4 linked regions of the Struthio camelus genome follow. The protein of the gene in region 1 purifies or fractionates together with the protein of each later gene. This does not show direct contact. Links are inferred from orthologs where the notes say so. Each region holds a gene or a part of one and is shown in the gene's direction. Other genes may lie near its edges.

Evidence for each region.
Region 2: the proteins of PFDN4 (region 1) and PDRG1 purify together in Homo sapiens (co-immunoprecipitation; 3 studies listed by BioGRID and IntAct, counting the BioPlex papers as one, with this or other methods). This does not show direct contact. The link is inferred for Struthio camelus from reciprocal best matches to the Homo sapiens genes PFDN4 and PDRG1.
Region 3: the proteins of PFDN4 (region 1) and PFDN1 purify together in Homo sapiens (affinity purification with mass spectrometry; 5 studies listed by BioGRID and IntAct, counting the BioPlex papers as one, with this or other methods). This does not show direct contact. The link is inferred for Struthio camelus from reciprocal best matches to the Homo sapiens genes PFDN4 and PFDN1.
Region 4: the proteins of PFDN4 (region 1) and PFDN5 purify together in Homo sapiens (affinity purification with mass spectrometry; 5 studies listed by BioGRID and IntAct, counting the BioPlex papers as one, with this or other methods). This does not show direct contact. The link is inferred for Struthio camelus from reciprocal best matches to the Homo sapiens genes PFDN4 and PFDN5.

Annotation. Positions count from the first base shown.
Region 1 is NC_090959.1:11,760,891-11,768,272, forward strand, and holds PFDN4 (prefoldin subunit 4), read left to right. Parts: upstream 1-4,381; 5' UTR 4,382-4,733; coding exon 4,734-4,757; intron 4,758-5,259; coding exon 5,260-5,367; intron 5,368-6,389; coding exon 6,390-6,533; intron 6,534-6,970; coding exon 6,971-7,102; 3' UTR 7,103-7,375; downstream 7,376-7,382. UniProt on the Homo sapiens protein: Binds specifically to cytosolic chaperonin (c-CPN) and transfers target proteins to it. Binds to nascent polypeptide chain and promotes folding in an environment in which there are many competing pathways for nonnative proteins.
Region 2 is NC_090959.1:18,591,674-18,599,397, reverse strand, and holds PDRG1 (p53 and DNA damage-regulated protein 1), read left to right. Parts: upstream 1-4,866; 5' UTR 4,867-4,943; coding exon 4,944-5,027; intron 5,028-5,650; coding exon 5,651-5,726; intron 5,727-5,888; coding exon 5,889-5,963; intron 5,964-6,341; coding exon 6,342-6,422; intron 6,423-6,766; coding exon 6,767-6,849; 3' UTR 6,850-7,216; downstream 7,217-7,724. UniProt on the Homo sapiens protein: May play a role in chaperone-mediated protein folding.
Region 3 is NC_090954.1:23,573,406-23,580,253, reverse strand, and holds the start of PFDN1 (prefoldin subunit 1), read left to right. Parts: upstream 1-3,846; 5' UTR 3,847-3,867; coding exon 3,868-3,960; intron 3,961-4,295; coding exon 4,296-4,462; intron 4,463-6,848. UniProt on the Homo sapiens protein: Binds specifically to cytosolic chaperonin (c-CPN) and transfers target proteins to it. Binds to nascent polypeptide chain and promotes folding in an environment in which there are many competing pathways for nonnative proteins.
Region 4 is NC_090969.1:1,548,830-1,555,996, reverse strand, and holds PFDN5 (prefoldin subunit 5), read left to right. Parts: upstream 1-4,148; 5' UTR 4,149-4,250; coding exon 4,251-4,322; intron 4,323-5,100; coding exon 5,101-5,203; intron 5,204-5,642; coding exon 5,643-5,674; intron 5,675-6,140; coding exon 6,141-6,215; intron 6,216-6,343; coding exon 6,344-6,449; intron 6,450-6,545; coding exon 6,546-6,625; 3' UTR 6,626-6,874; downstream 6,875-7,167. Other genes in the region: ESPL1 (separin), read left to right, coding at 1-62, 340-553, 728-912, 1,043-1,170, 1,253-1,375, 1,480-1,635, 1,771-1,941, 2,016-2,120 and 4 more. UniProt on the Homo sapiens protein: Binds specifically to cytosolic chaperonin (c-CPN) and transfers target proteins to it. Binds to nascent polypeptide chain and promotes folding in an environment in which there are many competing pathways for nonnative proteins.

The DNA of each region.
Region 1 (7,382 bases):
GTTCCTCCTTATGTGTATTTTTTAAGGAATACATACATATCAAGTTTTGAAATTGGCACTGGCAGTGCCCCTGTTAAAAAACAAATTGTTTCTGGCTGTACAGGTATAACTGAAGACCTAATTTCGGGTAGTGTAGCGAGCAGTTCTTATTGATGATGAACCACAAAAATAAACAAAACAAAACAAAAAAGCAAAGCTGACATTTCAATTGTAGGCCCCTCATGAACCTGAAAGGCTTCCAGTAAGGGCCAAAAAAAGTTTCGGGTAAACTGAGAGATGTTCCATCATGAGAAATATTTTCAGAACCAGATGAAGTGTGGAGTTACAGGAATATATAGCTAATATTTTGGGCCCAGGTATGTTCCCTATTGATACTGAGGTGCCAAATAGCGGTGAAGAATGGCAGGGCTGCAGAAATAGCTCTGTATCAGTTGTATACCTTTTATTTTAAGTAAAATCAGCATTGGGCAACAACTGTTCTGCTGGGCCAGAATTATGGGACTAAAGCTCTATATTTGCAGTACATCCTGCCCACAAAGGTAGAGTAAGGTCTCTTACTGTGCTTCACCATAAAGGGATTCCCCTGCCAAAGGGAATCTCCAGCTCCCATTTTAGATAGTGAGAGCCAGCAGAAACTCCCCTCAGCTTAATGGGCTCAGCTGAGGCTGCAGAACAACGTACAACGCCTTACAGTGAGGGAAAAGAGAAATTTTCTTCACAGAGGATGAAGTCTGTTGGGATGACTTGAGGAAAGTAGCTAATATGATTTACTGAGCTCTAATGCTGGATATATATGAATACAAAGGAGGATAATGTTGCTTTTGAGCAACAGGAGGGTTTTTTTTCCTTTCTTTGAAAGAACAAGGCTAAAAATCTGAAAAAAATCTGCCTTCTTTTCTTTAGAATATAAGGGAATGAAAATCTAAGAAGGGAGCCAGGATTTGTCTGGTAAATAATTAACACTCGCTTCATTAAGATCTGATATTGCCTTTTGAAAAGAATAGCACCATTAGAAGGGGATTTTTTTAAAGGTTCCCCCCCCCGCAAGCCCCTTCGTTCCACCTCATGCTGGTACAAGGGTAGCCATAGGCAAGCGGAAATAAAGCAATACATATGGCTATATAAGGTAAATATATATATATTTACAGCAGAATAAGTCTCATTGTCTAATATTAGAAATGCCAGGCTGCTACTAGAACTGCACCTATATGATGTGCAAACTGTACCCCTTGATTTACACTAGTACAATTAGAGTATTACAACTTTGTCCATCTTTTGCTAAGAGTGCTTGATCCACTTCATAAGACAAAGTCTTGACAAACCAATGATTTCTTTTGTCTCCATTAAGTTTTCTCTGTTTCTAATGCATCCTGTATTAAGAAACATTTTGGATGTGTGGTTTCAGGATGCTCAGTCACAGGGAGTTACCCTGTTCTCTGTGTAACTTGAGAGAAAAGGGTAAAGAGTTTGTGAGTCCAAAGCAAATCAGGCAAAGAGCATGGAAAGATTCTCTCCCACCGAGCTGTATTGCAAAAGACAAGTAACAAGAGGGGAAAATGTGAAAAGAACCACAAAGGAGATACAAGCCAAAGGGCGTGTGGGTTTTACACACCATGGATGGGATCCCACCAAGGTGCAAGATGAAGTTAACCACATTTGCAACAACAATGAAGAACAGTACAAGAAAGAGCAAGTCCTTTTATGCAACTGAAAGAAAAATGAGGTCACTGAGTTCAATGAGTTTATCTTACTCCACCACTAGATGTTTGCACTCGTGCACTGTTTTCACTTTTATTTACATAAGAAAAGTCTACAGTAAGTTACTCTTGGCAACAGGCTAACACCACAAATCTTGCCTGAGCATGTGGAAGAAAAAGATTTATTTTCAAAGCCTTCGAGTCATCAAATTCTTATGAAATCCACTCCTTTTCTCTTGAAGGAAATTACACTGGCTCAGACCTAACGTGTTATTCAGTTAATCCACCCATGGAAATAACCATGGTTTAGACTATACCCTTTCATAGTAGGATCTTTAAGAAGAGAGATGATAACTGACTCTATGAAGAGTAACAGAATGGCCAGAGAAATGAGAGTTTATTTCTGAGAAAAAGAGACTTATGAATTAGGATTATGTTTTCACATCCAGGGAGAACTTTTGTGATGATTTTTTTTTTCCTTAACAGGAAACAAGTCAGAATCATGCACCAAAGAAAAAATGAAAGTCAGCTTGAAGGCCATTCCGAATGTTTCCTTTTCTATTTTGTTCATCCTTCTAGACTGTCACTGGAAGCTTGAAATGAACTGTTGTTTCGAACTGAAACAGAAAAACATAACTTTTCCATCCAGAATATATCCACAGTAAGATGTTTTGACAATTTTGAAATTTTTTTCCCTCCACTCATTTTTGAGCTAGAAAGCTGCTACAGTCTTTGCCACAGGTAGATGTGACTTTCTTAAATATATTCAATAAAAAACAGTTACTGAAATGGAGCTCCCAACCAGCTCTACTACAGAACGAAGTTCAATACTTCTGAATTTTACACTCTGTGTAGAGTGAGCTCCAAGCTCATTAGTAAGAAGGCAGAAACCCAGACTTCTCATTCTTCCAGGCAGGCAGTAGGGCTGCTATGTTATTTCTATCTATGAAAGGCTGAGGGAGAATATTGTTAGTACATGTGCTAGGACTTGAATGGAGGATGCCATATTCCAGCTTTTCCTAATGAGTCCCAATTGCAGGAATTCAATAGGAAAACTTTTAAGGTATTCACCCATTCTTCTCCTGGGTTGTTGTTTTCTATTGTTCTTCATGGATCCCCTTTTCAATGGACTTTTATGAGCTACCATGGAGCATGGATTCTCTTGTGGTTCAAGCACTGGATTTTGCCTCAGGAACACTGTGTTCTAACAAAATCAAATGCTAACTCTGTTCCACTGGTTGTTTCTGTATTTCTTATTAAAATAGTTGTTGGTTAATATTCTTCAGGCATTACAAGGGAGGTGCGATGCGAGTCTGGATGGCATCACACAGAGCAGGTGAATCCGTGAGTCTCGCGTATCACGAACAAGTGTTCTGACAAGACTGTTGCAGAGAACTAGAGTGCTTTTTAAAGCACAGCTTTAGAGGAAAGGCTATAGGTTGTGCCTTCAGGAAATGGTTTTTGATCTTCGGACTCCAAACTGGTGGAGGTAATTCTCGGCAGCTCTGAGAAAAGGTTCGGCAGTTTTGGCTGCCAAGGGCTGAACGCGCTGAAACGCTGTTTCGTCGGATTTTCTTTCTAGAGCTCCGAACTCTCCCCACGCAATGAGCCAGGGACTCTAACTCAGATTTTGGAATTCCTTTCCAAAGCTAGACACTTTAAAAGTACACCTATCAGGCCTTAACTCTACCTACCCAGGTCCTTTTTTTGGTCTAACTCTAATGACCTTCGACTGCAATTCACAGGAGTGCCTAGCAGGAAGATGAATCCCAGTGAAATGCCTAAAGCTATTTCAAAGACCTTTCTGAAGCTTTCACTGCAGGTTTGTTACCTGCACACCTGACACTGGCACAAGAGCATATCCCTTGGAAATCACCGAACGTGGTGGGCAGTTCCTGTATGGAGACACGTGAAAGCTAGAGGGTCCCAGAGATAAGGTGGCTTCGGCAGACCGAGGCCAGTCACAGGCATCAAGAGGTCCCATTCGAGCCGTTCAGCAGCTGTTTTTCGTGAAAGAGGCCAGGCCGGTCTCCATCAGCGCGAAGGCTTTCGAAAACCCTGGCCGCTTGCAGCTTTTGCTTCACGTAGCGAGGGCGCGTGCCCGTCCGCCCGGGCTCCGGGCTGCGGGATCCCACCCGCGTACCCGCGGCAGCCCCACAGCCGGAGCGCGCCGGCGCCAGCCCTCTCCCCCGCAGTTGTGAAATGTTCTGATGACCTGATTTTTTTGTTTTGTTGTTGTGACATAAGCTAAATAAACTGAAGCATGTGGAGGCAATTACGCAGCGTAAATGCCAGACAGCCTCATTTCTCTTTAGAAGCGGCCAACCAGCCGTTTTGGGGGGGGGGGGGGGCAACAAATGTTTGCTTTTGCTTAAAAAGTCCCTCGGCAAGGATGTGAACTGGAAAGCCTTTTCCGCCCCCGTTTCCAGAAAGAGCAGGCTGGTTCGGTTGGCACGCCGAAGAGAAACCTTGGGCTAGTCCTTGGCGTCGCCCCGGACCCCCTGCGTGAGGCCGGGCCCGGCGCCCCGCCGTCGGGGCAGCCCCCTTCCTCGGCGGCCGCTTCGCCCCCCGCCGCCGCGGCGCCGCCATTTCAGGAGGGAGCGGCCGAGGGGCAGCGGGGGGGGGGGGGGGTCGGTGGCGGGAAGGGCCCATCCCTGAGCGGGGGCAGCGGGCGGGGGCAGGATGTGCGCAGCGGGTCCGGGTCCGGCCCCAGGCCGCCGCCCGCCGCCCGCCGCGATCCCATGGCGCCACCGCGTGGCAGCCCTCGCGGGCCGCAGCCCCGTTTTCTGTCGGTGGACTCGGCCGCCCGCGTCCCCTTTAAGCGGGACGTACCAAGCGCAGTGTGCTGGGGGGGGGAGGGGGGCATTCTGCGGCCGCTCGCGGCCGGACCCCAGCGCTGGCAGCGGTGACACCGACGAGAGAGAGCAGAGCCGCGCCGCGAGGGGTGGTCGCTGACGGGCGCCTCTTCTCGCCCTCGCTCGTCGCCGTCCCGCTCCTCCTCTTGCGAGGGGAGCGCATGGTTCAGCCCCGCCCAACATGGCCGCCACCATGAAGAAAGCGGTGAGTGGGGGACGAGGCAGCGGGGGTGGTTCCGCGGGCTCCTCGGTGGTGGGAGCGCGGCGGAGGGAGACGGCGGGGGTGGCTCCCGGGCCCCGCTGTGCCCGGCGGGTGGCAGCTCCCCTCGCTCCGGCGGCTGCCGCGGGGCGGCGGGTCCCTGCCCCGGGCCCCGGCCCGGCCCGGCGGCGCCGCTCGGCGGGCAGCTCTGAGGAGAGGCGGCGCTGGGAGCCGGGGCTGGGCGGGAGGGATCCCGGGGCACCGGTGTCCCCCGTGTCCCCAGGGAGTCCGCCCAGCTCCGCGGGAGTCTTCCTGATGTGTCCTTAAGGAGCTGTGCTAAGGAGTCAAGTGCATAACCAAAATGTAAAGACCGTAAAATCGTTTGTTTTTTCTTCACCCCCCTCCCCCTTCCAAAAGCTTTGTGGAAATAATCTTATGGTGAGATTAAAAGCAAAATCAGACTTCACGTAAAAAATGAGTTGCTCACTTTGACCTCGCTTCCTTGCAGGCTGCAGAAGATGTCAATGTCACTTTTGAGGATCAACAGAAAATTAACAAATTTGCAAGAAATACTAGCAGGATCACAGAGCTGAAAGAAGAAATAGAAGTTAAAAAGGTATTTTTTTTTTTTTCGCTACAAGGTCACTTTTTTTTTTGTTGTCCCGAATTAATTTCTGAGCTGCTGCTCAGAAAATGGACAGAAAATAGGAATTATCGATTAGCGTAAGTAATAGTTTTAGCCAGAGATTTCTGGCACTGAAGATAGCCAGAGAATATTAAGATGATAAAGCAAAGAAAGTCATAGGAAATAAAGGAAACTTGGAAGAACCACAAGTGTATTATTGCATGCAGTACTTAGAACTCCTTAGTTGTTATGTATGAAATGTTGATCATATATGAAGGCTATTTGCAGTGTTCTAAAATTTCCTAAGTTTATTCATATCTGCTTTTCTTGTACCAGTGAGGCATTCCTGCCTTTTTTCTTCTTTTGATGTGTTTATAGAGGTCATCGTTATCTGCTTAGAGATTTTCTCTTGCTGAATAGGGTACATTATGCTAATTCACTCTTCCAGTATTAATTCATTTTTCTTTAACATCGGTCACAGTATTTCCAGTGAAGTTTTAACTGTTATTTGTGAAGTGCTTACCCTGTCTCTTCTATAATTCCCTTGCCTGATACATACTGTAAAAATGTTACATTTTCGGTTTGATGTTCCCTTGGTGGCTTAAGGTGCTAGGACTCTAAGACATTCTACTTTTGTGATAAGGTTATTAACGTTTGCCGCCTTATTTGTCTTCCTGTTCTCTGGTTAAATTCAGAAATTCCTGCATAATAACGTATCAGATGTTAGTGAAATTAAATCAACTGTTTTTCACTTGTCTAACCAGTTAATTGTCCTGTTAATGAGAGTACTGACTAGAACTTTTTACTGGTAAACGCCACTGAATTTAGTACTTACTTTAAATTATGTCTCGGAAACAGCGTTATCAAACATACTGATATTGATGGGTAGGATTTTTGCCCCAAATGCGGACTCTCTCTGCATTCGTTATTCAACAGGAATAGCATGTTAATGCATCCGTTGCAGTAATACACATAGGACAAAGTGACCAACTTTCTTGTGTCTTGATAAATAGAAGCAACTTCAGAATTTGGAAGATGCCTGTGATGACCTAATGATGCTTGATGATGATGATTCACTACTGATACCCTACCAAATTGGAGATGTCTTCATTAGTCATTCCCAAGAAGAGACACAAGAGATGCTGGAGGAGGCAAAGGTTTGTGGGCAAAAAAGGAGTTGCTTTAGCACTATCTGCAGATAAGCATTGCAGTGGGATGGTGTGTTCAGTTCTGAACCTTTTACTTTCTGAATATCTTTACTATGATATCATGTAATACTGCAAGTTATACTTCCAAAGCTGGAGCCTGTTAATCAGCAAAAAGTATCAACACGGAAATATTCTCTCATTCTGATTTTAGCTTTATGCCTTGATCAATTTATTGAGGTTGGTGATAGCTGAGGCATGACTTTTCAATTTCTGGTATGTTTTATGATGTCCTATAATTATCATTGGAAAATTTGTCCTTTGACTGGCTCCGTCAAAGGAGCCTGACTTAAGGCAAAAACTTAAGGTTCCTTTGATCAATTATATGTTGCTGACAAACATGACTTGGTATGTTTTCATAATTAATTAGACATTCTTTTCTTTTCCAGAAAAGTTTACAAGAGGAAATTGAAGCATTGGAATCCCGAGTGGAATCAATTCAGAGAGTGCTGTCTGACCTGAAAGTTCAGCTCTATGCAAAGTTTGGAAATAACATAAATCTTGAGGCTGAGGACAGTTGAAGGTTTTCTAAATATATCATAATTTTTTTTTCATTATTTTAGTAAATATTTTGACAGTTCTTCTTTTCCAGCAATGTTTAAAAAAATTCTACCAGTTTCTTATTTTCTGACTTTCCTGTCTTGGGTTCCATCTATTTAATGAGAGCTTTCTTACTTTGCTTATTGCAGTTATTTATTTGTTCAGGAAAGCATTAGCGTCACTCTATTGATAAAGCATCAAGGTTGGAATATTTGCGCTGTTTATTAAAATAATAAAGTCAGGCACATATCATAGTTTCCC
Region 2 (7,724 bases), about 6.8 Mb from region 1:
CCACGGGGGTTGGAAAGAAAAGTGACTAAAAGCCACTTTGATGTGAGATATTTCCTCCTTCCTGTAAACAGGGTCATTTGGAGCAGCAGCGCCTGAGGAGCAGCTCGGGAAGTTGACACTGGGGCCTGGGAGAGCATTTATAGCCGCTTCGCACTTCCCGGGGTCACCTGCAGCATTTTAACGCTGGAGAACACAGCCTCTGCGAGGGGCCACACCAGCCAGAGTGATCGTGTGAATTTTAAAATGAAAGAAGCTGCAGAGAGCAGCTCCTGGAGAGCCCCTGAGCCCCGCACGCCTGCAGCGCGCTCCCGCCCTGCTGGGGCCGGACGGCTTCGCCTTGGGGTTCCCACTCTGCGCTGCAGCCCTCCGGGGCCCCGGACGGTCCGAGGGCAGGAAGGGAGGCCCCGCCGGGCCGAGCTGGCCCTGCCGGATCCGGTTCTCCCGCTGCGACCCGCAGGCCCTCGCCGGCTGAGCTCCGGAAGAGCCACCTAGCTGCAGAAAATGAAATCTGATCTCATTGCCTCTGCGCTTTTAATGCTCTTTATTACATACTGGGGGGAAAAAAAGGAAAGTAAAGGCAACCTGATGCTATTAATGAGCCCATCTGCCTGACATGGGCACATTGTTAGAAAGCAGCAAGAAAAAGCAAACACAAGTGCATGCTGCTGGGAGGGGAGGAGGACGGGAGGAGGGGGAAAGAGGGATTGTTTATGACAAAGCATAAATTATTCACATGCGCAGAGACATACGGAGGAGCAGAGGGCTTTCATCTGAGAGGCACCTCCGTGCCTGAGCAAGAGTGGGGCTGGGGGGGATCTGGGTGCAGATGCATCGTGCACGGCCCTTGCTCTGCCCAGCCCCCAGCCGGCAGTAGGTCCCACTCAGGATGCCGGTGCCCCGGGGCAGAGGTGCCGGTGCCCAGCGCCAGCTCTGCTGCAGGGGGATGCTCTGCCCTGCTGAGCCAGGAGTCTCCAAAGGGCTGGAGATGTATCTGAAAATCTCAGCACCTTGAAGGCCAAGGGGACCTCAAACCATTGTCCAGGCCAAATCCTTGAACCGGGGTCCACTGCTGGTCCCGGGCCACCGCGGCTGCTGCCCGCAGCTGGCACTTCCCTCCCTGCTTACGGCCACTCACTACCTGTTACTGAGATGCTGGTGAGGTTTGTTTCCCAGAGTCCTTCCAGGCCTGCAGGCAAAGCCACCCGCTTCGATACACAGCGCCACTCAGCAGCTCAGTCTAGACCAACTCGATTTGCAATGGGATAACTGAAATCCCATGGACACAGATTTATCTTTTCCACCACTGCCATTAAAAGTAACTAACTGCTATGTCTGGCTGCAAGGTGGATCCACAGTCTGACAGCAGCCTGGCAGAGGTTAAAGAGAGACACCTTTCCCTTCAGACTTGTCTGTTCTCCACCCGAAGCGCAGGGAAACGGCGGCTGCTGCCAACCAGGTTCCCGCAAGGTCTCTGCTGCTTCGGTCCTGGTGTTCAGAGTTAACCGTGGGGAGCGCCATGGGCAAAGCAATCTCGACTGGGACAGCTTGTACTTAATTTATTGCCAATTAACACAAACTTCTAATCATTAATTTGGGTATTGAGAAAAAAGGAAACATAAACAATTAAACAAACACATAGGGAAACCCCTTTCCTCCCCCTCAGATTAAGCCCGTCACCTCTCTTCCCCCCTTCCTGGCCTCGGCTTGCCTTGTTTTCGCTGGGGTTGCACTCGGTCCATCCCAGGTGCTCCGGCGAGGCGAGGGCGGCGCGCGAGACTGCAGCTGTGTGCGAAACGCTTCCGCCTGCCGCTCCTCCGTGCCTCCGGCTGGCTTGCCCCCGCTCCAGGCTCCTCAGTGCGCCTGCCGTGGCACAGGGCGCTGTCTGTGGCCCGCTGGCCTCAGGGCTGTCCCGCGCCGGCGTGGTGCTAACCGGCTGCTCACGTGTGAGCTGGCTGGATGCACAGGCGTAAATTAATTGGGTGCTCATGCAGGAACTAAATACGTTTGTTCACGCACAAACGTATTGGGTGTGCGTGTGTAAATTAATTGGGTGCTCACGGGTGATGGCAGCAAACCCTGCGATTGATGCCAGCGCAGGAGAGGGGGACACGGGCAGTGTCACGTGCTGCTGTGACATCGGCCGCTGCTGTAGGTCACTCTGGGGCACTCGCAATCCCTCACACGCTGTCAAGGACGAAACGGCCATCAGAAAATGTGATTCCACTTTTCACCTCCTCCACCAAACCCATCACACTCATGCCAGATTAATTCCATACACACTTTCTCGCGATTAAGCCTTTCTTCTGCACGCCAAGTGTCACTAATTACAACCCTATAGCTTATCTAGTTTTCAAACCCCAACGGGACGTTACCTCTTTACCCCGAGGCAATCCATTTTGTTTTGACAGCATCTTGTTAAGAACCTCGCCAAAAGCTCTTGGAAATCCAAGTGAATGAGCTGTGACCCTTTCCCTCATCCCGGGAGGGATGCAAGCACTGCAGAGCTCCGCGTTTGGCTGCAACGTGGCATGAGACGAGGTTGCTGCCAGCGGCTGCGGCAGGCTGAGCTCCTGCGGGCGCCCGCCGGCCCCGGCCGTGCCTGGCCTTGCTCCCGTTCGCCGGTGCGTCCCCCAGCTGCTGGGAGACGTGGCCCTGCTCGAGGGAATTCAAACGCGGTGACATCACCTAACTGCACAAATAAAGTACTCTTGCACAAGTGCATTCAAACACGAGCCAAATTCCACACTGTTTCCTGTGACAAAGCCCTTTCCCGCCAGCGACCCCGAGCCGGGCGCCGGAGCTGCGCGATGCCGCGTGACCCCGAGCGCTTCCGTGGGGGAAATCGCTTCTCAGGGCGAAGCAACAACCGCCCGGAGACCCGGCAGAGCACAGCCCGGCGAAGCCCGGGCCCTCGCCTTTCCTGCCTGTGTGCAGTATGATGCCTCTCATCAACGAGAGCTCCTCTTTAATTACGCTAATGGAGTTTACTCACCGCCACAAGACCTCCCCGGCTCCTCAGCTGCCACCGCCGCGGCAAACAGGCCACCGAGGGGAGACGGCCAGCGAGGGCGGCAGGCGGGCGCTGCGCCCCGAGGGCTGACGCGAGGCGCCGGTGCCGGTGCTGTGACCCCTCTCGGGCCCGGTGCCCGGCCTCCCCCCTCCAAAAGGCTCAAAGCCACCACCAGCCCCGGCTCCTGCCAGCAGCTCTTGGGCCTGGCAGCGCAGACATGGCTGTGCCCAATGGGACGGGGATGGGGACAGGGACAGGGAGGGGGATGGGGATGAGGATAGGGATAGGGACAGGGATGGGGACAGGAAAAGGGGGAAAGGGACAGGGATGGGATAGGGATAGAGATAGGAAGGGGATGGAGATGGGGATGGGGATGAGGTCGGGGATGGGGATGAGGATGGGGATGAGGACAGGGATGGGGATGGGGATGGGATAGGGATAGGGATGGAGACAGGAAAGGGGACAGGGATGGGATGGGGATAGAGATGGGAAGGGGATGGGGACAAGGACAGGGATGGGGACGGGATGGGGACAGGGATGGGGACAGGGACAGGGATGGGGACAGGGATGGGATGGGGACAGGGATGGGGACAGGGATGGGGACGGGGATGGGGATGGGGATGGGATGGGGACAGGAAAGGGGACAGGGATGGGATGGGGATAGAGATGGGAAGGGGAAGGGGATGGAGATGGGGACAAGGACAGGGATGGGGATGGGGATGGGATGGGGATGGGGACAGGGACGGGATGGGGACAGGAAAGGGGACAGGGATGGGGATGGGGATGGGGACAAGGACAGAGATGGGGACGGGGATGGGGATGGGGATGGGATGGGGATGGGGACGGGATGGGGACAGGAAAGGGGACAGGGATGGGATGGGGATAGAAATGAGAAGGGGATGGGGATGGGGATGGGGACAAGGACAGGGATGGGGATAGGGATGGGGACAGGGATGGGGACAGGGATGGGATGGGGATGGGGACAGGGATGGGGATGGGGACAAGGACAGGGATGGGGACAGGGATGGGGATGGGGATGGGATGGGGACAGGAAAGGGGACAGGGATGGGATGGGGGTAGAGATGGGGATGGGGACAAGGACAGGGATGGGGACGGGATGGGGACGGGATGGGGACAGGGATGGGGATGGGGACAAGGACAGGGATGGGGCTGGGAAGGGGATGGGGATGGGGACAAGGACAGGGATGGGGACGGGATGGGGACAAGGACAGGGATGGGGATGGGGACAAGGACAGGGATGGGGACGGGAAGGGGATGGGAATGGGGACAAGGACAGGGATGGGGACGGGATGGGGATGGGGACGGGAATGGGGATGGGGACAGGGATGGGGACGGTTACAAGGACAGGGATGGGGACAAGGACAGGGATGGGGACGGGATGGGGATGGGGACAGGGATGGGGACAGGAAAGGGGACAGGGATGGGATGGGGATAGAGATGGGGATGGGGACAAGGACAGGGATGGGGACGGGATGGGGACAGGGATGGGGACAGGGATGGGATGGGGACGGGATGGGGATGGGGACAAGGACAGGGATGGGGACGGGATGGGGACGGGGACGGGGACAGGGATGGGATGGGGACGGGATGGGGACATGGATGGGGATGGGGACAAGGACAGGGATGGGGACCGGATGGGGATGGGGACGGGGATGGGGACAGGTTGGGGACAGGCATGGCGACAGGGACGGCCGCCCCGGCGGCGCAGCCAGGCGCTGCCGGCTGCAGTGCGCTGGAGCGAGCCGGGCCGGGCCGGGCCGGGCCCCGCAGCGTCCCGCTGCCCCCGGTGCCGGTGCCGGTGCCGGCCGCGGGGCGGCGCCTCTCGCCCCGGAACCTGCGTGCGCGGCCGCGGCTGCCGCCCGGCGGGGAGCGCGGCGGACCGGGCCCGGCCCGGCCTCGCCCCGGGGCCGCCATGGCGCGGGACCCGGCCTTCGTGCTGCGCTACCTGGCCGAGGTGGAGGAGCTGGCCGAGGACGTGCTGGCGGCGCGGCAGCAGGTGCGCTACCGCCCCCCCGGCCCCGCCGGCGCCCCCCCGGCCCCCTGCGGCCCCTCCCGCCGCCTCCCGGCCCCTTCCGCGCCCCCCCGCCCCCCCCAGGCCCCTTCCGCGCCCCCCCCGGTGCTCCCCCCCGGCCCCTCGCGGTGCCCCCCTGCGGCCCCCCAGACCCTTCTGGGCCCCTCCGCCCCCCCTAGCCCCCCGGCTTCTCCTGGTGCCCTCTGTGGCCGCATCGCACCTTCCTGGTGCCCCCCGGCTCCTGCTGGTGCGCCCCGATCCCCCCCCCCGCCTCCTCCTGGTGCCCCCTGCATCCCTCCCGGACCCTTCCAGGCCCCCCCAGCTCCTCCTGCTTCCCCCTGTGGCCCCCCCGTCTCCTTGGGCCACGGCCCCTGCAGCCCTCACCCGCTCAGCCCCGCTAACCTTCCAGCCCCCATCCGCCTCCGGGTCCCCTCGTCCAGCCCCCGGTCACCCCTTCGGTCACCCCTTGCACCCTCTGGGAACCCCTGCGTTCCCCCATCCGTCCCGCAGTCGCCCCTTCCGCCCCCCGCAGCTGCGCCGGTGACCCCCGTTCTCGCAGCGGCTCCCCCGGGGTGACCCCCGCTGCAGCCGTACCGTTCCCGCTGCAGATCGTGGACCTGGACGTGAAGCGGAACCGGAACCGCGAGGCGCTGCGGGCTCTGCACAAGGACCCCGACCCGGACGGTGAGGCCCGGGGTGCCCCGGTGTGCCGTTACCTCGAGCCAGGCCGCCCCACGCCCGGCCCTGGTACCAGGCCTGCATGAGCCTACTTGTGCAAAGGAATAGTTTTATATTAGGAAGAAAAAAATTGGTGTCCACAAGGACCTTCTTTTTCCCCCTCCTCAGATAAAGCAATGGTCTGCTTTGGAAACATGTTCATTGAGCTGCCAAAATCAAAGACTAAGGAGATGATGCAGAAAGGTAAGACAGACTTCTGGAGTGTCCTTTTTTGTACGTTCAAGCTTCTGTCTAGTCCTGGGCTTTGAAGCACACAAAACCTTCTGACTGTAGTTAAAAATAGAGATTCTTGGCATTCCTCGTGTTCTGCTGTCCTGGACAGAGCATCGCAGGGAGGCACGTTTTGGTAGAAAGTGAACTTTTTCTATAGGCTGCAGAGAACATGCAACAAGCCTGCGTGCTCGAGGTTGCAAGGAGAATGAAGCTCACAAGCATCCTCTCCTGTCACCCCATGCTCAGGCTTCGACCCTGAATATCTCCCAGCAGCAGCCAGGAGTTGGGGTAGCTCTGTGTTCATCCACAGAACTCCACAGCTCCTTACCGCTCTCTCCCTTCTCTCAGATCAGGAGCACTTGGATGAGGAAATAAACAAGCTTCGGAAAGAGCTGCGTGTGAAGGTCAACCGTCTCTTTGAAGCTCAAGGTAGATGCTCTTATTCTTGAACCTTCTCAGCGAACACCCAGGAGCAGATGTTACATGGCAGGAGGAGCTCCTGCGCTCTGTATGTTCCTAGAGCCCCCTTTTCCCTCGCTTTCCAATTCTGTTCCTGTTCAAGCAGCGCTGTGGGACCATGCAGCTCTTGTTGCAAAGCTGTCATCCACTAGCAGACTAAACAGGCTTTCCAGCTACTCCAATGACTCTGTATCAACTTCCAGGGCTATCACTGTCTTCTCTAGAGTCCTTGCAGTGATGGCTACTTAACATCTTTTGTAGCTACTTAACTTATTTTGTAGCAAAACCCTGATTTTCTGCTTGCTTTCTCTCAGGTAAAGCTGAGCTGAAAGGATTTAATCTGAACCCCATGACTCCTGAGGAAATGAAACTAATCAATCGCATACTGGAGGGCTGAGATGGCAGTGGCATCACCATGACCATGGGCAAATAGTGTTGCTTATCAAGGCATTATTTAGGCTGTCACGTGTGGAATTCATACTGCTCTATCAGTGGCCAACCTCCAGGGTTTTCTTTAGGAGAACATCTGTATTCCTGGAACCTTTCTCAAGTGGTATTTACCTGGTAGGCTTGGGGAGGCATTTGGCTCCTCAAATAGAACGCTGCAATTTCTTTGGACTATAAACTGTTCCTGCTTCTTGCTGGATAAAGATTGGGCGCTGGAACTGTGCAGAGGAAAACGTTAGAACACAGGCTCATTCAAGGCATTTGACAAACTGCCATTGCTAGGGTGGAAGTGGGATTATTAAAATCTGAGAAACTAAGCATTCCTAATAGTGTGCATGTTCTGTTGTTGTTTTTTTCTTTTTTAACGTAATATCTTCTGTAAGTTAGCTTCAGAGCTAGTTCATTCTAGTGTCGGAACAGGAGTAGGAGGGAACGAACTGTGAATCCACAGTGTGTCCAAAGCATAAAGGAAGAGTTGTGTAAGCCTGTGGTATTAGAACAAAGTAAAACTATACATCAAAAACACTTCAGGAATCTTTTTTAAAAAAATGTGTGAAGAGGGATACAAGAGGGCAGCATCCTTCTAGTCTCCGTGGGAAAACATTTACTACTGTCAAGTTGGAAGGCAAGAGAACAGGGAAAACAAGGCTTTCAAAACTAGAAGAAAGGATAAAGTGTTAAAAAAAGAAAAAAAGACTGACATATCCTTGGCCTGTCTTGTAGTAAAAGGACAATTGATTTAACCAATAGTTGTTTCCTCAAAGGTTTTAAAATTTATCTTCTGTACTACCCTAATTAGTCTGAACTTGCTACCCCAACACAAGT
Region 3 (6,848 bases), on another chromosome or scaffold:
ACCAGTGGCATATGTAAAGTTGGGAAGCTGGGCAGAAGTCTGCCTTGCGTGGTGGCTTGGAGCAAGCACCAGTGTATCACAGAGCACTTGCCTGTGCTGAGATGGGAGGGAAGAGCTCGCTTGGGTCACCACACTGCAGATCCCCTGGGCTGAGGCATCATTGTTCACTCCTGGGCATCCTCCAGCCTTTTGTGCTATAAATTGCCAATGACTCAGGCAGCAGGACGTTCAGGCTCCCCCGAGGAGGCCAGGCCACTGCCGTATAGAATTAGCTGCTACAACTCTTCCTGCTATTCAGTGAAAGGTTTTCCTTTTCTCTGCAGGAAGTGTTATGTGTTGGATACACCAGGATCCGTGGGGCAGAGTAGCAAGAGGAACTGGGTTACAACAGCCATCAGTGTCTCAATAGTTGGAGGTCTTAGATAGGGGGATTGAAGAGAAATATCTCTGCTACATCCAAGGCTTGGGGTTGAATCAATTCAGAGCACGTGTGGTCTTCAGAGCATGGAAAAGGGAAATGGCACGAGGCCTGGATTTGTTCTCATCTTGGGGCAGGTGCAGTGGGTTGCAACAGGAACTGCTTGTCCCTAAAGGTTGGATCTTGCATTCTGCTTTTAATTAATGGTGTCCAAAGAGGTTGCCTCCTGCCTGCCTCAGATTACAGAATGGTACACTGGGTATTTTAATTTTTGCTGCCTTCCCCTAAAAGACTTCTGATAGCCTCATCATGATCTCACCTCTTCTCCCAGCCCAGCTGGGCAAACTCCAAGGAAAACTCAGGCTGGAGGGAGTGATGGTGATTAATTAGTGGGCGCGCATGTGGGTGAGTCAGGCTGCATCAGTAAGGCAGCACAGTGCTGAGGGGGTCACCAGGCAGCTGAAACAGCTTTCTCTGCATGAAACACCATGCTGCCATGCTGACCACATGCAAGAAATGGATTCCCCTGAGGATCTCACCACGCCACCAGCATTAACTCAGTAACTCCACCAGGCAAGGACACAATGCTTCTCAACCTCCCCCTCAGCTTTTAATTGGATTCAAGATCGTCTGGCCCTCCCAGTCCCAGACTGCTGCCATGTGCCCTTACATGCCTCCTACTTTCACTGCTGAAGCAACTGCCTTTCTGCAGAGGGTGAAATGACCTGGCCTCCTTCCCTCCTGCAGCATCTCAACGCCTGTCTGGATGACAGGGCTGTGTCTGACTGCCAGGTATTATTAATAAAGCATCAGTCTGGCTCTGGTTTTAGCTACTGCTACTGCTTTTTGATCTGTCCCTTGTATCCCCCTGGCTTTGGGATCCTCTCCCAGAGTCTGGCTGGGGGTGCCTTTCCTGTTCAATGAGTAATGAGACAGGCAGCCCGCGTTCTCCACTGTGTCTGGTACAAAGCCTTCCCTTAGCAGGACCTCTTGCAGGCTTGGCAGGAGCAGGCAGGCTAGAGCCTGTCAGTAACAGATCACCTCCTTTCTCTGTGTTTCTGTAGAGAGAGATGGCCTCACACAACTATTATGCACCAAAAGGCAATGTTGTAGCTAATCATTTGACGAACTAGTTCACTTCCTTGGCATCGCATCTAAACTGCCAGCTCAGCAGAAGGCTCAGCCACAAGCTCCAGTTCTACCCTGAGACACACGAGACCCCCGGCTGTATATCACCCCCTTGTGTGACAGCGACTGTGCGCTGGCAGAGTTATCCTAGTTGTGTCAGGGTCTGCATCTGCCCTTGCATCTGGCAGCATCTACAGATGGGGTTTAAGCCACTGGTACGGCCCACCAGGACTTAGGAGTTACCCAATGCCAGAGCCACCTTGGAGTGGAGGTCACACAAGGCTGCTGTTAGGCTGCTGTTAGGCTCCTTAGCCCCGCCAGACCTCCCCTGCAGCCATGCAGAGCCAGCCTGGGTTGTTAGTAGACGTCTACTGGATGGTGGATGAGGCTGGCATGAGAACCACACAACCTAACTGTGTATCGCACGACATAGTGGGGCAGCGTGGGATAAACGTCCATCCAGCTATACCAAAGAGCTTCACCCCTGACCCAGAGGGCCTTCCCTGCCTGTAATCCTTGTGACTCATGCATTCAAGGCCTCTTGGCCAAGCTGCATGTTTGGGAATTGGAACAAGACCTTGCTTTGGAAATAGGGCGTTTATTGGCAGCCTGTAGCTGGGAAAGAGCTCCTTCCAGTGAGATAAAACAGCAATGAAGTTTATTGGAGAAAGGCAAATAAAGATCCTCTTTAGCCAGTGGAACCCACTGATACATGAAACTTCCCCTCGATGTTGGCAAACCCTTTATAGATAAGGTATGGCCACCCATGTGAACACCTGCCCCCCAGGATATCTTGATTCCCATTTTTCTGTTCTGGACGTGACTCAGTTCCTTGCCAGCCCCATGATACTTTTAGCTTGGCTGCGTAGCACTGCATAAACAGTCAAACACATGGACAGGCTTCATGAGTCCTTGGGTCCAGCAGATGGGCATCTCAGTTCAATGACAGAGCCGGCATGCTGTCCCCATGAGGGGTACCTGCAAGGGCTTGACAGCCTCTTGAAACAGCTTCAAAGCCTCCCAGGAGACTGTAATCACACACCTGGTCCCCAGGAGAGGCTGAGTCCCTTCATAGGAAGGGCAGCTCCATCCCCTCTGGTTTTCTTTTCCTGCTCTTCCAATACATTTTCTGCTTCACAAAGGCCATATCTCTCTGCTCCAACATGGTACCCCAGCTTCCTGCTGAACTGGCATGGCCAAGAACACCCATAATGGGATCAGCTCTTTGGGGTGACCTCATCTGCACACCACTCAACAAGGTCTCACTGCTGACCAGTGAGGTGTCCATGTGGCCCAGTAAAGCATCTGTGTGGCAATGAGGCATCTGTACAGCAAGGTACCTCCATGGCACAATGAGGCATTCTGTTGCCTAGCAAGGTGTCTCTGTTGTCTGGAGAGGTGTCCCTGTGGCTCAGCAAGGCATTTCTGTTGTCCAGTAAGGCATCCGTGGAGCTCACAAGGCATCCTCACTGCACTATGAGGCTACCACTTGCCTTGCTGAGGAGTGCAGGCAGCCAGGTGAGGCAATTGCATGGCCTGGCAAGGTGACCCACCGCTCACTAAAGCATCCAGACTGCCTGGCGAGCCATCCATGCTGCCTGTGAGGCATCCTCGTGACCTGATGAGACATCCCTGATGCTTGGCAAGGCATCTGCCTAGCCTGGGGAGGTGCTGATGTGTCCATGCTGCCTGATGAGGTGTTGCTGTGGCCTGGTGAGATGTCTGTGTGGCCTGCTGAGACATCCCTGCTGCTTGGAGAGGTGCAGGCATGTCCCAGACAGGTGTCAAGGAGTCCCTGTTGCCCAGTAAGGCATCCTTCCAGCCTATTGAGGTGTCCCCACTGGCCAGAGAGCCAAGCTCATGTTAGCAGCCCCCAGGTGCATATAGGTGCCATAGCAGTGGGTGCCACCAGACCCGCTGCACTCAGCCATCCCCTACCAGTCCCAGCCCTGCCCGGGCTGTCCTTGCCACAGAGAGCAGGCAGCGGGCAGGAGGCAGCACCGGGGCCAACCAAGACTGCAGACCCCCCGGGTGTCCTTGTGTCCCCGTGGCCGTGGGGCCCAGCCTATGCAGGCTCCCCAGGCCTTGGTCTGCCCTCCATGCCCCGGTTGAGGGCACAGCTGCTGGCAGGGAAGTTGCTGGGCCCCCCTCCCCAGGGACACACCAGGGCGCTCCCTAGAGCCCCCATCACTCCAGGATCCCCTCTTGCCCCTAGGATTCGCCCCTCCTCGCCAGTTCCTCCCTTCCCCCCACATTTCCCCCCTCCCCCCAGGTTCCTCCTCTCCCCACGCTCCCCTCTCCCAGCCCTCCTCCCCGCGCGCATGCGCACCTCAACGCGGCTCCCGCGCTCCCCCACTGCGCAGGCGCCGGGGGCAGACAAGATGGCAGCGCCCGTGGACCTGGAGCTGAAGAAGGTACCGGGGACTTCCCCCTCCTCCCCGCCCGGGGCCGCAATCTGCCGCGTTCTCCTGCCTCTCTACCCTCCGCTGCGGGGGTCTGGCCGCCTCCGTGGCCGGGGAGTGTCCCATCGCCCCGGTTGGGTGTTCCCGGGTAGGGCTTTGCGCGGTCCCCTGTTTTGGGGCAGCTTGGGGCCCGCCGCGGCCCCCCGGCGGCCTAGCCTTAGCGGCCTGGGGGCTCCCGGCCTCTACCCCGGCCTGGCAGCCCCAGCCTAGCCCCAGCCTCGCCTGGAACGGCCCTGGCCCCGGCCGGGCGGCCTCAGCCCCTCACCGCTCCTGCTTTCCCCCTTCAGGCCTTCACGGAGCTCCAGGCCAAGGTAATAGATACGCAGCAGAAAGTGAAGCTTGCCGACATCCAGATCGAGCAGCTGAGCAGGACGAAGAAGCACGCGCACCTCACTGACACGGAGATCATGACGCTGGTGGATGAGACCCGCATGTATGAGGGTGTAGGGAGAATGTGAGTATCATACTGGCCTGTGGGGCGAGTAGGGGAAGGCCTCATCGCTGTACTCTTCCAGACTGCTGAGAAAACAGCTCACAGACGCCTTGTGCCTACCTTGTGCTGGTAGTCAAATGAGGTAGCAGTTATAATGGTAGCCTTGCATATGGGGAGACGTTCCTTGCCTCAGTACTTAAAAGGCCTAAGGCTGCTGCCTCAGGCCAAAGATTCTTCCCTACTGTATGGCTGCTTCATGAAGAATATAGCGTGTGTGCATCCATTGAGGCATACTGGGCTTTATCTCTTGGCATCAGTTGCCAGCAGTCTTTTTTACAACTTTTATTGCCTTTGTGTGCTTTTGCTTTTTGGCTTTGCTCTTGGCCTTAATGGTCTTATTTGGACTGTCTGGAAATTTTGTAAGCTAGATTGCTAGAACAGGGTTCTAGTGACAAACTGTGTTTGCAAGAAGATGTCACAAACCTATGTAGCCATTCGTGATGGAATAGTACACCATTCCTGACGTAGTTCACGTCAAACTCTCTCAAAAACACCCATGCCCTTATGCAGTGCATATACTCAGGGCTCTGCTTGCACAAATGTTCTACAGAAATGCAATATCATGTCAATGAATGTCAGTGCTTGCCATTGGCCAGATTTTTTTAAAGACTTGTAAGAGAGCGTGAAGCTTGTTTGCAGTCGCTGTGCAGCTGTAAAGAAAGTAGTACTTTGATGTGTTGGATGGATATCAAAACATCTTAGACTAGAATTAACATGTTTTGATTAACTCTGACAACCCACTTCTGTTTGACTTTAACAGCCTCTTATAGAAGACCACACAAACCAGTTTCAAAAGCTGATAATGCATGCTTACTAAATAAACATCACAGTAACTTTGTGCAAGACTTGAGAGTACTGTGATTTTTCTGTTTCATTGCAAGTTGGGTAACAGGGATGACTATGCTTAGCTAGGGATGTGGTTTTGTGAAACACTGAATCTGATGTAACTGCTGCCAAAAGGGATGATTGTGTCTACTTCTTCCCCACCTGTGTTTCCCCTACCTTCTCTGTGTTGAAGTAGGTGATTGCGCAACCATGCAGTGAGTTTCATCAGCTTGCTGATTCAGTGAACAAGTTGTTCACCAAAAATGCCCTGGTCTGCCTTCCGTCTGACCACAAAATCTCTAGATCCAGTCTCAGAAACTGGAACTGGGAAGTGAGGAATGGTACGCAGATTGCATTTTACTGTGAGTTTTCAGATGAGACCAATGGAAAAACGAAGTTGTACCCAGACTTACGGAGATGCTCAGTGTGACACGCAGCATCCTTCTGAATTGCGTTGTATGGCTCCGACTTGCATTGTGTGGCTCCCAGTAAATAAATTTTTCCATGCAGTTGAATTAGATGTTCGGTTTGTGTGGGGATGTTAGCAACTGGTACCTCTAAAGGAAACAGATTTTTGTCCCCTTTCAAGAGGTGGAGTGACTGTAATATGGTCTGGGAGCAGGCTATAGGTGTAGAGAACGCTAATGTTCAAAGCAGTGTGACAAGACAACTCATAAGGGATTGTGTTTTTTGGTTTTTTTGTTTGGTGGGTGGGAGTCACAGCAGACAAACTAAGAGCAGAAGATAATTTTGGAGGTTCAAAAATATATATTTTAATCTTAAAGCTAAATACTTCTGTATTGAAAAATCATACAGATTAATTTAAAAGAGTGAGTGTATCAGTCTTTACGATGAAGTAAAGTAGTATTGCTCGCAAATGAGATGTGAGTGGCAAATGGTATCGGTTCCTGCACTGGCTGAATTGCATCGTGCTGCTTTCTATTTCTCTTCCACTTATGAGACACCTTTCTTCTTTGCTTCCTAGACCACTTATGCTTTTTCTGTTTGCAGTAGTTGCTGGAGTGAGTGTCTTTTAGGGGGTCATACTCTGCCTGCCTTTCCATGACCAGATAGGGTGCTGTAGGCCCTGCTGGGCAGCTCTCTATTCCTCCGGGATGGTAAGGGTGCTAACTGAAGATATTTGCCTTATGATAGCATTTAAAGGCTGGACTCTTTATGGGTTTTGTTGCATCAGTCACTATGCAAATGCAGATTAAGAGATTGCTCTCGCTGTAAATACTCTTCAGTCACTGAAGTTTGTTTGTTTGTTTTTTCTTCTTTACCTTGATATCATGGTATTTCTGAGCTCTGCCTATTCTAGCCATGGCATTGAAGGATGTCTCGCAAATTGGCATTCTGTTCTGGTAAGCTCTGGGTCACTCTCCAGTGTGAAGATCTCACACGAGGAACACAAGACTCTTCCTGTAACCACTTCTGACCACTAGCAGAGAATTTATTGCTGAAATTCAGGCATTTGGTGAAGCAGGCTACAGATACATTTAAGCAGGAGCTAATTCAAGGG
Region 4 (7,167 bases), on another chromosome or scaffold:
GCTTGGCAGCGGGGGCCCCCTGCACCTGGAGGCCCTCTCCTCCTCCCTGTCCACGGCTGGCGGTGAGCGACCGATGCTGAGGGGCTGCTCTGTGGGCTGTTGCTGTGCAGGGCACTGGTTTTGGGCTGGGGGCTCGTGGCTGTGCTGGGGAATCCACGTTTGTCCCCTCTCCTACCAGCTCCTCGGGCAGGCGGCTCTGGAAACCTCTGCTCTAGCCCTTCTCCACCTCCTCTTACAATTTCCCATTGCTTTGAGCTTTGCCAAAGGGTTCAGGTGCTCTGCTCTCTGTCAGGAGCTCACCTCTGCCTTGGGGGGGATTTGCTGCTTTGCCCCTTCCAGATGTCTCTTCCCTGGACAAAGCCTGTGAATTCCTGAAAGGTGCTTTCAACTGCATCAGCCACTGCCCTCCCAGTGCCCTCTACAGCCAAGTCTGCCAGCTCCTGGCCCTGTCCCTGGGCAAGCAGGACCCCATCTCCACTGCCTACCTGGTGTCGGAGTCTGTCTCGGTCACCACCCGCCATCAGCTGCTCAGCACGGTCCACAGGAAACTTCAGTAAGTCCCTCCACCCTCCCTGGCTGGCTTTGTGGAACAAAACCCCCTCGGCCTCCCCTGCTTTTAACCTTAGAGCACTGCTGAGCAGGAGGGGGGTCTCTGCCAAAAACTTTGGAGCCCCAGCAAAGGTAATTTCAAAGTGGATTTATTCCCTGACTGTCTTTCCCTCTCCAGCAAAGCCAAGAAGTCAGCAGCAGACGTAGCCGAGCAGCTCCACGGGCTCTCCTTGCGGGAGGAGAGCGCTGCTGTGCGCAGCCACCACCTCGCTCAGCTCCAAGACCTCTTCGAGTTCAGCTCCACGGGGATGGGGCCTCAGGAGCAGGATGGCTTCAGGGAGCAGCTGGAGAACATCCCCAGTGGTAAGGGCTCATCCAAAAGCAAGGGCTGGGAAGCTCACTGCTCTGTGTCGGTCTGGGGCTGAGTCCTGGAGGGCTGTGTGGCCTTGGGACTGTCCCCTGGCTGTTCCTGAGGTCTGGGTCTGGTTCCCAGGGGTGACCGTGTGCGTGCTGACCCTGGTGAGCCTCCAGCCTGCCTCCGTGGGAGACATGCTGCTGCTCACACGGCTGGAGAAGGGCAGCGCTCCTGTGACCATCCGGATCCCGACTGCGCTCACCAAGGTGAGGGCAGGAAAGGGAGAGGGGACAAGCCCAGCTGCAGGGTGAGTTTGGGGCTGGGATCACTGTTCCCTTCCTCTTCCAGGCCCCGCTGAGCTCGGTGCTGAGCGAGTTCGATGCCATTCAGAAGGAGCAGAAGGAATCCAGCAACTGCACGGACAAGAGGGACTGGTGGCTGTGTCGCTCGGAGCTGGACCAGAGAATGAAGGTTGGGGAGAGACTTCCCTCACCCTGATCTGCCTGGTGGCACCTGGCACAGCTTTTGAAGAGGGCTGCCATGCCCAGACCCCCCGTGACTCTGGCCTCTTGCAGAACCTCATCGAAACCCTGGAGATGCAGGTGTTGGGCTGTTGGAAGGGGGCCCTGCTCCCTGCCAGCCAGGAGCCCAGCCTGGCAGAGGAGGCTTCCAGCTTGTGCAACCAGCTCCAGAAATGTGGTTGGGAGGACGCAGATGCAGCGCTCCTCAAGGTTTGTGTTGGAGATCCTAGTTGGCCTGGGCTGGGGCAGCAGTTTGGGCAGCCAAACAGCCTGGCATCACGTGCCAGCCTACAGCATGGTGCTGTCAATGTTTATGCATTTCTGCTCCCCTCTTCCTTCCTGTAGGTTGTGCTGAACTCCTCTCCCCTCCTCACTGCCCAAGATTTGCAGTCCCTGGCCTTTGGGCTCTGCCCAGCTCAGCCCTACACGGCCCAGCTCCTCTTGCAGGAAGCCCTGGAGAAGCGGAGAGCTTGCGCCAGGCAGGCCAGCGGCTCCCTTGTCCTGGTGCTGGATAAGGTGAGTCTCTGCTCCTGCCTGTACTCTGCGTGGCTGCTTGCTGCCTTTTGTTCACCCCTTCCTCTTCCTCCCAGCACCTGCAGAAGCTACCCTGGGAGAGCATGGCGTGTCTGAAGGCTGTGCCCGTAACCAGGCTCCCTTCCCTGCGATTCCTGCTTGGCTATTCCCTGGCGCAGAAGGTGAGAGGGCCAGGGACTGTGCACCCCGGGCCGGGGCTCTGCGCACACTGGCTCTGCAGCACCGCAGGGTTTGGCACCCTGCGGGTTCTGCTCCGGGCTGGGGCTGACTTGTCTCGTGTCCCCACTCTGGCAGCGGGCAGGATCTGTGCTGAGCCGCGGCGTGAACCCCAGCAGCACTTTCTACATCCTCAACCCGCACAACAACCTGCCGGGCACCGAGGAGCGTTTCCGGGGCTGGTTTGAGAGGTGAGCGTGTCCCCTGCCCCGGGCAGGGATCCTGCAGCCTGGGGTGCCCCAGGGGCTCTCTGCTCTCCGCCGTCCTCACCAGGTCTCTCCCGCAGCGAGCCCGGCTGGAGCGGTGTGACAGGAGCCATCCCGAGCCAGGAGCAGATGCAGACGGCGCTCTCGGAGCGTGATCTCTACATGTGAGCCTTGGGGATGGCGTGGGCTCCTTTGAGACAGCCCAGGGCCCTCTTTAAGCCTGATGGGGGAGGTCGGGGAGGCTTCACCAGATCTCTCACCTGGACCTTCTCCCTGCAGCTACGCCGGGCACGGAGCAGGCGCCCGCTTCCTGGACGGGCAGTCCATCGCCAGGCTGGAGTGCCGCGCCGTGGCCCTGCTCTTCGGCTGCAGCAGCGCCGCCCTGGCCGTGCGCGGCAGCCTGGAGGGATCTGGCATCGTTCTCAAGTACATCATGGCTGGGTGGTGAGTGGCGAGGAGATGCGGAAAGCAGGGGCGAGGCTTGGGGAAGCTCAGCTTGTCCCTTTGCTACAAGGGCCGTCTCGTGCAGCTGGGTGTCTCTGCCCCTGCAGCAGTCCTGTTTTCCCCCCACCCTGCGCATCTGCACCCCAAAGGGGCTGACATGACCCCTTGCTCCTTTCCAGCCCCCTCGTCCTGGGCAACCTGTGGGACGTGACGGACCGCGACATCGACCGCTACGCCGAGGCTCTGCTCCAGGGCTGGCTGAAGGCGGGCTCGGGCGCCCCGCTCCTGCACTCTGTCGCCCAGGCCCGCCAGGCTCCCAAACTCAAGTACCTCATCGGCGCTGCCCCCGTTGCCTACGGCTTGCCTGTGTGCCTGCAGTGAGGGCTCAGCGCTGCCTCTGCCACTGCCTCTTGGCCCCAGCCCTCCTCCCCTCCCCTCTCTCCCTGTGCCCCCCCCCCAATGATGATCAGGTGCTGCTGAGGCTGTTTTAAACTTGCGGTGTTTGCACAGGGGGCCAGCTGGGGTGGGGTGTTACATGTTTAACTGTTCTTGGATCTTAACTTATTTTAAAGTGGTTTTAGATGACACAGTCGCTGTATGTTGAGACAATAAAGCTGGTGCAGTTGGACCTGACCCTTGTGTGCTGGCTAAGGATGGTGCTCAGGCTCAGGGTGCCTGCCACCCTGGGCTGCCCTGTGGGGCTCTGCCCCCTTCCCTCTGCCTCTGTCCCCTCTCCCCGGGCCCCAGCCAGCTCTCCCAGGTAAGCAGGAGCCCGTTGCACTGCAGCTCTGAGCGATCGCCCACCCCATGGGCTGTGTTGTCCCTTGCGGGGCATGCTCTGCCCTCCGAGGGTGACCTCAAAGCACCTTCTTGGGGTCCTGCTGCAGCTGCACCCCTCGTTGTCCTCCTTGGGGCCTCTGCAGTTGGGATTTTCCCTCCTCCCTTGTTTGGGGGGGGGGGGGAACACCCCTCCTAGCTGGGTGAGGGACAGAGGGAACAACCCTGGCTGCTGCAGCCCCTGCCTCTTCCTCGCACCTTGGAAGCCCCAGTGGAGGGTGGGGGGCAGTAAACCCCCTTTTCCCTGGGTGGGAGCAGTGGGTGGGGGTCCTGCAATAGAGCCTATCCTTATTTGGGGGGGGAACACCCCTGGGTCCCCCCTGTCTTGGGGGGGGCAACCTGGCTCCTTCCTTCCCTGCTTTTGGGGGGGGGGAATGACCCCCCCCCGGCTGCCCCCTGTCCTGCTTTGGGGGGGGGGGGGAGGAAATGATCCCCTCCGGCTACCCCCTGCCCTGGGGCTGTTGCCCCCGCCGGCCGCCAGGGGGCGCCGCGGCACCAGCGAGAGGCGGCAGCTGGCGCTAGAGCGTCGCGGCGGGCGGCACCAGCGAGACGGGGCGACGTGCGCTAGAGCGTCGCGGGCGGCCCAAGATGGCGCAGCAGGTGAATGTGGCGGAGCTGTCGCTGCCGCAGCTGGAGATGCTCAAGAGCCAGCTCGACCAGGTGGGCCGCGCCGGGAGCCGGGCTCCGCGGCTGGAGGGGCTGCTGGGGGCGGGGGACAGGGCTGGGGGAGCGCCGGGCCGGTGGAGAGGCCGAAATGGGGGTGAGGCCTGATGTGGCTGTGGGGACTGGAGGGGGCGGCGAGAGGGTGCTGGGCTGTGGGGACTGGGGGGGTCGCATGTGGGACCAGACTGGTCTAGGCTGGAGGTCCTGGGGGGTGACTTATGGGACCAGACTGAGTCAGCCTGGGGGGACAGGGGGACGTTAAGGTGGGGCTAGGGTGTGGGGACTGGGGGGAGATATGTGGGACCAGACTGGGCCAGGCTGTGGGGACTGCAGGGGCGGGGGTGGTGGTGATGGTGGTGGTGTATGGGACCAAATAGGGTCAGGCTGGACTGGGATATGGGGACTGGGTGACTGGAGAGGTGACACGTGGGACCAGACTGGGCCGAGCTGTGGGAACTGGGGGTTATCAAAGTGGGGACTACTGGGCCGGGCTGGACCAGGCTGGGGGGTGACATGGTGGGGCTGGACTGGGTGGTCTGGGGGGGTGACATGTGGGACTGGACTGGGCTAGGCTGTGGGGGTGGCAGGGTAAGGTTAGACTGTGCCACAGGTCTGCTGTGGGGGGGAGCTGGGTGGCCTAGGGGTGATGACCAGACCAGGTGACGTGCCCCAGCCCTGTCCTGCCGTACATGGCACTCGATTAGGGCCTCTTCTGCTCTCTCAGCACCTCTTTGGTGGTAAGGGGACGCTCACAGGCTCACGCTCTCTCGCCTAGGAGGTGGAGTTCCTCTCGTCCTCTATTGCCCAGCTCAAAGTGGTGCAGACCAAGTACGTGGAAGCCAAGGACTGCCTCAATGTACTCAACAAAAGCAACGAAGGTGAGTGAGATACCTTCACCCTCGGCCTGCGTGGCCCTGCCAGGTCCCTGGGGCACTTACTGGGATGCCTGAGCAGCAACTGGAGAGGCTGGTGTTGTCCTGCCTGGCCTTGCCAGTCCTGGCTGCTGCCTAGGTGAGACACATCACTCTGTGCTTTGAGTGACGACTGAGAGCCCAGGCTCTGCGCTTTCTTCTGCCCTGCGTCAGTTTATGCCCTTGGACCAGGTTCTTGTTTCCGTGGTGCCTCCTTCCCTGCTAGGAGGTTGGGCGTTAAGCAGCATCCCAGGCACGCGGGGTGCACGGAGGGGCTAGATGTGGTTGTAACGTCGTACCTAGCTGTTTGGCGCTGTGTAGCTGCTCTGTGTGCCCCTCGCCCTGCTGTGGGCAATCAGCTGGTGCATCCGAGCGCTCAAACACGTTTCTGCTTTGTTTCCTGTAGGAAAGGACCTGCTGGTCCCGCTCACCAGCTCTGTATCCTTTGCCAGCCCTGCAGTCCTCTGAAGTTAACTCTTCTTTGCTAGCGGGGACGCGGGAATGTCAACTGCTAGGGCCGAGGGGCTTGGGGGACGTTTTACCTGGCTGTGCCCACTTCAGGAGGGACATGGCCTCTCCTGGTTGCTCCTTCCCTGCCTCCTGGGAAGGTGCTGGCCAGTCCTCGTTCCTCTCTGAGCAAGGACCCCAGGATGTTTCCTTTCCCTCTGGCCAGCGGCTGAGCTGGGGTGTTTAGGGCTGACAGATTTTTGCCCCTGTTGCTCTTGACACGAGCTCTGCTTCTTCATGCTGGGCCTGTGCTGCTCGGGTCGTGCGTTGGTCCGTGGTGGCCACTGTGCCGAGGACGCCTGGCCTCGGTTCCCAGCTCTGCTGGGCTGAGGTGCTTTGCTCCCAGAGCTGCCTAGTTGTCTTGGTTCCCTGCTTTCCCTTGACCCCCCCCCGCCAGATGTATGTCCCTGGGAAGCTCTCAGATGTCGAGCACGTGCTGATAGATGTAGGAACAGGCTACTACGTGGAGAAGGTAAGGGGTGCGTGGAGTGGCCCAGAAGCAGCTGCGTTTCTGCAGCAGATCATAAACAGAATTGTCCGTGGCCGAAGGGTAGCAGGAACTTTGTGCCTAGAGCTCTCTGTTATCCTTTATTCCCTCAGACAGCAGATGATGCCCGAGACTTTTTCAAGCGGAAGATTGACTTCCTGACCAAACAGATGGAGAAGATCCAGCCTGCGCTGCAGGAGAAACATGCCATGAAGCAGGGTAAGGGCCCATCTCCCACACCCCGCTGCAGCTCCTCGCTCTGGGCAGGCCCCCGAGCAGCTCCCCTCACTGCCTGGGTGCCTTGTCTTCCTGCAGCCGTGGTGGAAATGATGAGCCAGAAGATCCAGCAGCTCACGGCCCTGGGGGCCGCGCAGGGCGTGACAACAAAGGCGTAGCCTTCGGCCTCAGGGGCTGCCTTCATCAGCATCGCTGCTGGGACGAGAGCAGAGCTGCTGAAGAAAGCCGCTGGGGCCCAGACCACCTTGTCCCCCCTTCCCCAACACTCCTCTCCCTGCTCGGCAGGGCTCTGCTGTTGACTCTAAACACGTGCGGTGCCTGGAAGCAAAGCACCAGCCAAACCCTTCCCTTTTTGTAAGCAGTGCGTTGCTGCCAGTGTATGGAATAAATTAGAGATGCAGGGAACAGCTCCGGGCGGCATCTGGTGCTTCTCGAACCGGGAAGGTTTCAAGGGCAGGAATTCAGCCCTCTGCAGCCAGCGGGAGGTAGGATTGGGCAGGGGCGGAGAGGCACGCAAAGAGGGGGAAAAACAACCTGGGACTCCTCCCAAAGTGGAGTCATGCCAGGCGAAACAGGGGGCCTGCTCCAGCCCGAAAGATCACGCGATACAGACCGGCCTTATCTGAGGAAATCATGCTCTTCCCGATCCCGCAGCTCTCGCAGCGGGGATTCCCAAGATCCTCCGGCCCCCCAGCGCAGC